Saccharomyces cerevisiae S288C: one gene and its partners. Changing the gene in region 1 together with any one later gene gives a genetic interaction. Each region holds a gene or a part of one and is shown in the gene's direction. Other genes may lie near its edges. The genes, in order: SNF11, SPS2 and BAT1.

Region 1 (2,962 bases):
GGGGAGGCCATTGGAACAAGCAGATGGGTAAGGACCCCCGCTATATTTTGTAATCCTAGGGCAAAACTAAAGCATTTTAAAGTCCCCGGTGGTTGGAAGACGTATAAGTATACAGCTGTTAAAATTGGAGCTGTCAAGTGCAGGATGACATAGGAGAACCAAGCCAGTAAATCCTTGGTCTTAGTAAAGTTTGCATCCGACTGGTAAGCAAAGAAATGATCAATGTTGAGTATAACAAATGTAAACAGGGGCAAGGCAAACGGTATGAAAATTGTCCGAAATCTCTTTTGGATCGGCCGCTGCTTGCGCTTGCAGGGGTAATGAAAAATATTTGCGAACCACTCTAACAGATTATAGTTAACGTGCTTAATGTAATAGATGTAGTACCAAATGGCAAAGGGAATACATATCAGAAATACTAAGAGAAATGCAGAAGATGATATGAATGACCAGAAAAATAGCTTCGAAGTATTATCGGGCAATTGTACAGTAAGTTCATGCCAATAGTCCCCAAAGAGGAATTGATCAGCAAAAAAAGCAAACTTGCTATGAATGTCAGGTCTGAGCCTTATGGGTATCAGACCAGCGCGCTTGAATATAGACAGCCAAATAAACACTGGCGCAAAATTAAGCATGAAGTTGAACGGCAGGCTTATTAGATTACGTTGGTTCAAACTTGCATTATACATGTTTTTGACGAAACTCGCCAAAGAAAATATGACATTCATGCTTTCTTAGACGTTGAAAGACTTTAGGTGATTCTTAGCAGAAATGATAACGTCCAACCGGTGAAATAAAGGAACAGTTAGGGTGGCAATGAAAAAGTAGCGATGCTTATGAAAACACTATGCCTTAGGTTTCCTTTTTTTATTTTTATTTGACAAGTAGCGATTACTCTTCTATTGTTCCTGGTTTTTGATGCTCGAATGTATTATATAAAAATGTTGTGGCCGGAGGTCTGCATTTCTAGGCATTTTTCCTTTTTCTTATTTTTTTTACTTTCCTACTAACTTTGCACTTCGTAAGAGAATTTACACCAGAACTCTCGATTGAGGCGAAGAAGGCGGAGAAAAAAGCCGGTAAAAAAAAAAAGCGGAATCAATCAGCACAATCAGAGGCGTCAAGAAGCGGCGCGGGGATAATGCTTTTTTCCCGTGGCGTTCACATTTTTGTTCCGCGGAAAGCACGTGAGCGTAATCCACTCGGGAAGGGCGCAGCTGCCGTGGCCAACTGAAGTAATCTTTAGCCGTTTATCGCCGCGCAAAACGGCAATTGCACTTGAGACCCCAACGGCGCTGTGCAGCAGGGTATTCTACTACGTGTTAGCTTGCCTTGCATTTCCCCATGCGTCTCGAATAGGAATTATTCAAGATGGATTATTGGCATTTACGAGTAACCAAGGATAACCCCGCTGTGCGGTGAAACCACCCTCTTTTCACGTTTCTTCAAGGCCAGTGCAAACGCGAATAAACATATCTACGCTATATATAGATATGACGTTTCTCAAGCCAACAGAAGTAGATAAAGCAGCCAGGAGGGTAGAGAGTGTTCAAATTATAGCAAGCCTTCTTCTACCTGTTTTTTTTTGATGATTGTTTTGCCGGGTAACAATCGACTTTCGGGCAAATTTTTTTTCCTTTTTTCTCCTAACAGTATATACGGAGTGGAGAACAGACTTCCCATAAAAGCATATTACGTGGGGTCGTAGTAAGATTGCCGTTTATGATACCCTCTATTCAGGGCTCAGAGCGCATCACGATCGGGAGTGTAAATTCAATGTGCATATAAGCAAAACACACAGATTTCCTTTTTTCCCAGAAAAATGAGCAGTGAAATTGCCTACTCGAATACGAACACCAACACTGAAAACGAGAACCGCAATACTGGCGCTGGCGTAGATGTAAATACAAATGCAAATGCAAATGCAAATGCAACTGCAAATGCAACTGCAAATGCAACTGCAAATGCAACTGCAGAGCTGAACCTCCCCACGGTCGATGAGCAAAGACAGTATAAGGTACAACTGCTATTGCATATCAACAGCATATTACTTGCTAGAGTTATTCAGATGAATAATAGTTTACAAAACAATCTACAGAACAATATAAATAATAGCAATAACAATAACATCATCAGGATACAGCAACTTATATCTCAGTTCCTTAAAAGGGTTCATGCCAATCTTCAATGCATATCTCAGATAAACCAAGGAGTGCCCTCAGCGAAACCACTGATCCTCACGCCTCCTCAGCTAGCCAACCAGCAGCAACCTCCACAGGATATTCTTTCTAAACTCTATCTTCTCTTGGCAAGAGTGTTCGAGATATGGTAGAATAACTTTGTTTCTCTTCCCTTTTTTATTTTGTTTTTTTTTTTTTACTTTTGCAATTTTAATTTTGCATTCAGCTACAGGTGTGATTGCATACCCGCAGAGCAAGTACAGGAAGCATAAGAAAAATAGAATACGAAAAGCAGAAAAAGAAAGGCAAATAACAATCACTCAAGTACTACAACTGCATGAATTTATCGTATGTAATGTACCCAACGTAAATAATAATATTAGTATTTTAAAATCTATGACATCAGATGTAGTTATCTTACTGCCAGCCCTATTAATACTACTTTCTTATTATCTTCTTCGAGAGCCACCTTCGTCATCGTCGCAGTAAGCATTGTCATCTTCATCATGCACGTCGGTAACGGAAGCCTAATCTCAATATCTACTAGTTTACTCTACGCCATTTGGAGCGTAGCCCCTTCTCCTTTTGACTCTCTGACTTTTCCCTCCCCTCCTTCTCTTCTGGCCTAGCCTAACCTAGTCTAGCCTCGCTGGACCCCCTCCTTCCAACGGTCAACCCCTTCCTTTCTATTCTCTTCTCGTTCTCTACGTAAGGAACTTGTAAAAGAAAAAATTTGGTGCCATACAGGGAAATCGGCAGTGAGACGGAGCGGCCGAGGGTCT
Region 2 (4,110 bases), 890 kb from region 1:
TGTTTTTGTTTATTATCTTGGTTCCAACTGCTTCATTTAATATTTCCTATCCAAAAAAAGCCAGCTAATTCTCTTCTTTTTTTTTCTTATTTTGCCATTTTCAATATTATCGATTTAGTGAACACCTGGCTAGTCAGTTGTCTTAGCAAACATTTCTCAAAAGAAAGCAAACCAGCATTTGCTTTTTAAATTTAGTTTTTTTACTAGCTAATTCATTTACTAAACAACAAAAGAAAATAGCACAAAATGGAAAGCAAAGAAATATCAATTAGGTCAAGAACCCCTCCATCGAAGCTATATTCCATCCAATCATGTATTGGCAGAGGTAACTTTGGTGATGTGTATAAAGCAGTGGATAGAGTTACGCAAGAAATTGTGGCAATTAAGGTGGTCAACCTGGAGCATTCCGACGAAGACATTGAACTGTTAGCACAGGAAATTTTTTTTCTGGCGGAATTGAAATCTCCTCTTATTACAAACTATATTGCAACAATGTTAGAAGATGTCTCTATGTGGATTGTCATGGAATATTGCGGCGGTGGATCATGTTCAGATTTACTGAAGCGAAGTTACGTCAACGGTTTGCCTGAAGAAAAAGTTTCCTTCATTATTCATGAAGTCACCTTGGGTTTGAAATACCTGCATGAGCAAAGGAAAATTCATCGTGATATCAAAGCAGCTAATATTTTACTAAATGAAGAAGGTATGGTTAAGTTGGGTGATTTCGGAGTAAGTGGCCACATTCGTTCCACTTTGAAAAGGGACACTTTTGTAGGAACGCCGTATTGGATGGCTCCGGAAGTTGTTTGCTGCGAAGTTGATGGGTATAATGAGAAAGCAGATATATGGTCCTTGGGTATCACCACCTATGAGTTACTCAAGGGCTTACCCCCATTATCTAAATATGATCCTATGAAAGTTATGACTAACTTACCAAAAAGGAAGCCTCCAAAATTACAAGGTCCCTTTTCGGATGCAGCAAAGGATTTCGTAGCTGGTTGTCTTGTTAAAACACCTGCTGATCGGCCATCGGCATATAACTTGTTATCATTTGAATTTGTTAAGAATATCACCATAACGAACTTGAAAAGTGATGTTGATCTAATTAAACAGAAAAAGGTTCAGGAGAGATATACAAAAGTTCCCAAATACCCTCTTCAAAATCGCTTGTATAAAAACAGCAACACAGTGAGGGGAAAGGAATTTTGGAATTTTGAATCGACAAGACTAAGCACAACACAAATTTCCAAAGAGGAATTATCTCCCATTACACAAGACTCTCCAACATCATCTTTAAATATGGAAAGTCCTTATTTACTTCATGGGCAAACTGTAACGCCGATAACCAACCCAAGTTCTTCATCATTTAGAAAATGTACGCAACCAGTTTTCGAGCTTGATTCAGGAATGGATATAGATTCAGGCTGCCCAAATGCTCAAGCAGAGACCGAAATAGTTCCTCTCTCTAATCATAATAAGAAGCATAAAAAGAACGATATTCAGGCGTTGAAGATAGAAAAGTTTGACTACTTGAAAAACATTGTATCTCATATTCTCAACAGAATGTATGATCGTGCGCGCGACGATGAAACAAGAAAATACGTAAATGAAATGTTAAAGCAATTCATTAAAACTGAGGCAAACGTTCCTGGATTTAATGAGGTTTTTATAGAAGAGATCTCACTAAGAATTGAAGCAATAAAGAAAGGATTCGTTTAAAAAAATAGATATATATATATAATGTGTGTATATGCATGAGTTTTTGTTTTCCATTCTCTTTCATCTTCAATAAATGAAGGATGGATATATTGAATTATATAACAAACAGTAAAAAGTCATGTGTTTTTGATTATTTACCTGCTTATTTCTCCCTTTTTTTTTCGATTCTTTTTTTCTGATCGAGCGTTTATGTCTTTACTGTCCCGTCATTGATGCGTCTCAAAAAAAATATTTTGTGGCATTACTTAGACTATAAAAGAAAATGCCAATTTGGAAAACACAAACATTCTTCACTAGTATTTCTGTTATTCAAATAGTCAATAAAGAAACCAAAGTTTCTACAAAAAAAGAAAAGGATAGCATGTTGAACCAGTTGAACACAATCTTAAGATTTTTATTCTTGTTTCTGCAGTTAATTAAATCATCCGCTGCAGTTGAACCTAATGGTGGACCGAATATTCTAGATCACAACATTATGTTGGTTAACACTAATGCAACGATCCCTAAAAAGGAACAAACTGATTTTGAGGTGATTTCTCCAACAAAACAAACACAAGTAGATGAAGACTGTAAAAAAGGCTTGTATCATATTGAGAATGCTGGAAATTTGATTGAACTGCAAGCTAAATGTTGGAAAGTGGTAGGAAACATTGAAATATCAAGTAACTACAGCGGATCTCTTATTGATCTAGGGTTAATAAGAGAGATAGAGGGAGATCTTATTATCAAGAATAACAAACACATTTTTAGAATCCAGGGTTATAATTTAGAGTCTTTGGGAAAGTTGGAATTGGATAGCCTAACTTCCTTTGTATCATTAGACTTTCCCGCTTTAAAAGAAGTTGAAACCGTTGATTGGAGAGTTTTGCCTATTCTAAGTAGTGTTGTCATTAACGGAAATATTAAAAAGATCAAAAATATTATCATATCTGATACTGCATTAACCTCCATCGATTACTTCAATAACGTCAAGAAAGTGGATATTTTCAATATCAACAATAACAGGTTTTTAGAAAATTTATTCGCAAGTTTAGAAAGTGTTACTAAACAACTAACCGTCCACTCTAATGCCAAAGAGCTGGAACTTGATTTGAGCAACTTACACACGGTTGAAAATATGACCATTAAGGACGTTTCAGAAATTAAACTAGCTAAACTTTCCTCTGTGAACAGTTCTCTAGAGTTCATCGAGAATCAATTTTCAAGCTTGGAACTACCACTTTTGGCAAAAGTTCAAGGAACGTTGGGGTTAATAGATAATAAAAATCTGAAAAAGCTAAACTTTTCGAATGCCACCGATATTCAAGGGGGTCTAATGATTGCTAACAATACAGAGCTTGCCAAAATTGATTTCTTCCCCAAGTTGAGGCAAATTGGCGGTGCAATATATTTTGAAGGTAGCTTTGATAAAATTGACCTCCCAGAGCTAAAGTTAGTAAAAGGTAGCGCTTATATCAAAAGTTCATCTGAGGAATTAAACTGTGAAGAATTTACATCACCAAAAGCCGGTCGTTCGATCATAAGAGGCGGTAAAATCGAATGCACATCTGGTATGAAAAGTAAAATGCTGAATGTTGATGAAGAGGGGAATGTACTAGGAAAGCAGGAAACTGACAATGATAATGGAAAGAAAGAAAAAGGAAAAAATGGTGCAAAAAGTCAAGGAAGTTCAAAGAAGATGGAAAACAGTGCTCCGAAGAACATTTTTATTGATGCTTTCAAAATGTCAGTTTATGCAGTTTTCACGGTATTGTTCTCGATAATTTTTTAGGTTAGAAGATTAACTTAAATACTAGCCATTTTATTTAGTTCTTATGAGATATAAATTTGCAGTAGAGATGTAGTGTTCTGATTATCTTCACCTGGAGCATAGCGTAGCCCACTTAGCATCAGCTTTTTATGTTATTTCAGGCATTACCAAAACTGGTTAAACTATTGAAACTGTTACCCTCCTTTTAATTTTGACAGTTTTTGAATAATTATTATGGTAGATCATCTTAACAAAATGAGCTCATTAGGTAGATGATTTAATTGAAAAATAGTGTTTTGATACGGTTCTTCCTTAGGGTTAAAACCACTCACATTTTGCTTACTCACCATTAAAACATCTTTCCCAGTTGTATTTTATATTTCTTTCGGTTTGCTGAACATCAGGGAAAAAAATGGATATAAACTCAAATGCCTCAGTAAGCCCCAGACCAGATGGTTTACCGATGACTGCTGGATATAATTCTGCTTCTGGAAAGGTGCGAAATAGTATCAGATCCATAATAAACCACCCAGAGGATAGTGCAAGAGCCAAAGAGCGCAGTGAAACGAACAGTCCTAAGAATAATGGCAACAAAAAACCTAGAAAGAAAAGAAAAACATTTAGTTGTGATACTTGCAGGA
Region 3 (3,770 bases), on another chromosome or scaffold:
CACTTCTCCCAAACAGTCTCGTCATCAATATTCTTCTCAACGCCCTTTTTGGTACCATTATCAGATTCCTCTTCAGTATGTACAGTTGTACCATTCAGTAAACTAAACGTACTGCCGATACCGCTGGCGTCTCTTAATTTAATTCTTTCCCTTTGTGAGATGCTTGCCAATTTTTGCCATTGCTCTTTGACCTCTCCTGTAGTATCCAAAAGCATGGATCCATATATAAGACCAACTGAAAAGGCAGCGGTAAAACAATATTTCTCACAGTAGTTAACAAATCTTTTCCAATTACCAGCATGAAGAATGTCTATTCTATTCGATCTCCATGAGTGGTATAAAAGCTCATGTAACGACGCATGTGCTTTTTTACATTTTTCACTGCACCAAATAGCTTTGCAAACTTCACAATCCAAATAATGGACCATAATTTTGTGCTGGGTCAAATCATATAGCGCCTTACCACATCGAGCACATGCCTTTCCATTAGATATTAAAAAAAGCTTGTCCAGTGGTGGAATATATACGATAGGTTTATTTTCTTTCAGGATGATTTGGCCCTTGGAAAAATCTCTTTTAGCGAAAAGGCCCCTTCCATGTTCGTCATCAATAAATTTCACTTCGACCTTAGCATCAGAATCTAGGGCTTTTGGAAAATGTATTTTATCTTTATATAGAGAAACGGTCTCTAGATCTGTGTCATAAAGATGGTGCTCATTTAGAATTTTTCGAAAACGAGAAGCACTCAATTTCCACGATTGATTTCTTTCCGTAATCCTGTCATAAAGATGCTGAATCGTAGCGTCTTCAGTTCCGGGCTCTTCCTTCCATAACAAAACTACGTCATCACAGATCTCTTCCTCTGTGGGAGTTATCTTTCGAAAATCAGAGCCATTTTCTGTACCATTATGCACTGCAGATTGATCGCTATCGTTTAAGGTTCCTATTTTGATAGTCAATGTCATTTTTGTGCCACTTTTCGTTATTTTGTATCAGTGCACGCTTGGTTATTTACCTATTTAGCTTCTATTGTTATATGGAGAAGTTCCCCATGATTATGATATCAAGAAAGAAAAAGAAAAAGAAAAATAATACGAAAAAAAAAATTACGAAGCTAAAATAAAAAAAATTACGGCAAGGAAAGGGTTTACTGATAAAATTTGTTATCATTCTTGCTAGTCAGTAAGAGCATATCTGCTCAAGTAGACAAGGGAAACTATCGCAGGTGGTCCGGAAAGTACTTGACAATCAAATGCTCGTCTGAAAGCCAATGAGGAAAACTTGTAGACTGTACTAATTTTTCAAGAGAAAGAAAGATACCGTATGTTTGACTATTCTAACGAGATTTATGCTACAAACTCCTCGAGAAGCAAACTGAGGTAGAATTACCCACCCACAGCGCGATAAGTCACATTGGCGCCCTGGACTTGACGAATACTCCTATCAATAGTAAGGCTCGCAAACCGCCCGTCCATATCAAGCCATTAAATTCTGTTATTATCCTTAAAAGTGAAATGCGCACCACAAGCTTGATGGCATTTCCTTCTGCACTTCTCAAATTGATAGCATTGCCTTGCGAGCAGTAGATAATTTAGATAAAGTGTATCTTGCCAGGGCCTTCCCAGGCATTAACTAGATAATGTGTTCTTTTTTAGCTGAACTGTAAAGCGTAAATGTTAACGCTGGATAAGTACCGCGTGTACGGTTGATTGAATGATCTTACTGATAGAGGCCAGGCGGTTGATACTTTGTGCAGATTTCATACCGGCTGTCGCTATTATTACTGATGAATTGGCTCTCTTTTTGTTTAATGGCCCATCCGATCCATATTGCCTTCTTATGACTCAAAATTCTATTGTGTTTGCCGGTACCGGCCTTTAAGCTTTGAAAAAAAAAAAGCATCTGAAAAAAATGGCACTATAAAGAGAGCTAGTGGTAACAACTACATGTTTTCGTTAGAATAAATCACCCTATAAACGCAAAATCAGCTAGAACCTTAGCATACTAAAACATGTTGCAGAGACATTCCTTGAAGTTGGGGAAATTCTCCATCAGAACACTCGCTACTGGTGCCCCATTAGATGCATCCAAACTAAAAATTACTAGAAACCCAAATCCATCCAAGCCAAGACCAAATGAAGAATTAGTGTTCGGCCAGACATTCACCGATCATATGTTGACCATTCCTTGGTCAGCCAAAGAAGGGTGGGGCACTCCACACATCAAGCCTTACGGTAATCTTTCTCTTGACCCATCTGCTTGTGTATTCCATTATGCATTTGAATTATTTGAAGGTTTGAAAGCCTACAGAACTCCTCAAAATACTATCACCATGTTCCGTCCGGATAAGAACATGGCCCGTATGAACAAGTCTGCCGCTAGAATTTGTTTGCCAACTTTCGAATCTGAAGAATTGATCAAACTTACCGGGAAATTGATCGAACAAGATAAACACTTGGTTCCTCAAGGTAATGGTTACTCATTATACATCAGACCAACAATGATTGGTACATCCAAGGGTTTAGGTGTTGGCACTCCCTCCGAGGCTCTTCTTTATGTTATTACTTCTCCAGTCGGTCCTTATTATAAGACTGGTTTCAAAGCCGTACGTCTTGAAGCAACAGACTATGCTACAAGAGCTTGGCCAGGTGGTGTTGGCGACAAAAAATTGGGTGCTAACTATGCCCCATGCATCTTACCTCAACTACAAGCTGCCAAAAGAGGGTACCAACAAAATCTATGGTTGTTCGGCCCAGAAAAGAACATCACTGAGGTTGGTACTATGAACGTGTTCTTCGTTTTCCTCAACAAAGTCACTGGCAAGAAGGAATTGGTTACCGCTCCATTAGATGGTACCATTTTAGAAGGTGTTACCAGAGACTCTGTTTTAACATTGGCTCGTGACAAACTAGATCCTCAAGAATGGGACATCAACGAGCGTTATTACACTATTACTGAAGTCGCCACTAGAGCAAAACAAGGTGAACTATTAGAAGCCTTCGGTTCTGGTACTGCTGCTGTCGTTTCACCTATCAAGGAAATTGGCTGGAACAACGAAGATATTCATGTTCCACTATTGCCTGGTGAACAATGTGGTGCATTGACCAAGCAAGTTGCTCAATGGATTGCTGATATCCAATACGGTAGAGTCAATTATGGTAACTGGTCAAAAACTGTTGCCGACTTGAACTAATGATAATGAAGGTAAACATCCCCTCCCCCCCCAAAAAAAAAAAACGAGAATTCCTCTCAGAGGATCTGTTTTTCTCTCACTTTATTCACATAGATACATACTTTTTTACAATTCCTGTTGAGTTTATTTATTATAAGAAATATTGGATTACTATTATTATTATAGCTTATGCAAGCCATTGTGCGGCTTCTTACGCTTTTTGAAATTGTTGACCTAACAACTTGGCACATTATTGAATTTCATAGAGACTGCTTGTAATTTAGTTGCCAAGGTATCTCGCTGGACTTTACATGTAAAATGAATGCGGCAAGATACCCAAGAGAGTTGATTATGCCAAAAAAAAAAAATCTATAAGGATATCCCTGGTATTTTCTGAAGAATAAATTCTAGCGTAGTTCAGAAGAGGTGCAAGTACAGTATGAATAATGGTATGCCTTCCATCATCGTGGCATACAGGTTCAGGCATGAAGAGATGATTATGTTCCCTCACCGGTCCATAATCCTGATTTAAACAGTTCATTAGTATATGTTCAGCCAACACAACAACGAGAAGCTTTGTAGTGAAAGTTTTCCACGA

What was found.
Region 2: mutations in SNF11 (region 1) and SPS2 together harm fitness more than expected from each alone (negative genetic interaction), as found in Saccharomyces cerevisiae (2 studies listed by BioGRID).
Region 3: mutations in SNF11 (region 1) and BAT1 together harm fitness more than expected from each alone (negative genetic interaction), as found in Saccharomyces cerevisiae (2 studies listed by BioGRID).

The regions. Positions count from the first base shown.
Region 1 is NC_001136.10:590,617-593,578, forward strand, and holds SNF11 (Snf11p), read left to right. Parts: upstream 1-1,822; coding exon 1,823-2,332; downstream 2,333-2,962. Other genes in the region: IPT1 (inositolphosphotransferase), read right to left, coding at 1-728. UniProt on the Saccharomyces cerevisiae protein: Involved in transcriptional activation. Component of the SWI/SNF complex, an ATP-dependent chromatin remodeling complex, which is required for the positive and negative regulation of gene expression of a large number of genes.
Region 2 is NC_001136.10:1,483,175-1,487,284, reverse strand, and holds SPS2 (Sps2p), read left to right. Parts: upstream 1-1,981; coding exon 1,982-3,490; downstream 3,491-4,110. Other genes in the region: putative serine/threonine protein kinase SPS1, read left to right, coding at 247-1,719; URC2 (Urc2p), read left to right, coding at 3,882-4,110. UniProt on the Saccharomyces cerevisiae protein: Involved in middle stages of meiosis. Redundant with SPS22 for the organization of the beta-glucan layer of the spore wall.
Region 3 is NC_001140.6:515,521-519,290, forward strand, and holds BAT1 (branched-chain-amino-acid transaminase BAT1), read left to right. Parts: upstream 1-2,011; coding exon 2,012-3,193; downstream 3,194-3,770. Other genes in the region: SET5 (S-adenosylmethionine-dependent methyltransferase), read right to left, coding at 1-965. UniProt on the Saccharomyces cerevisiae protein: Mitochondrial isozyme of branched-chain-amino-acid aminotransferase, involved in the biosynthesis of the branched chain amino acids (BCAAs) leucine, isoleucine, and valine.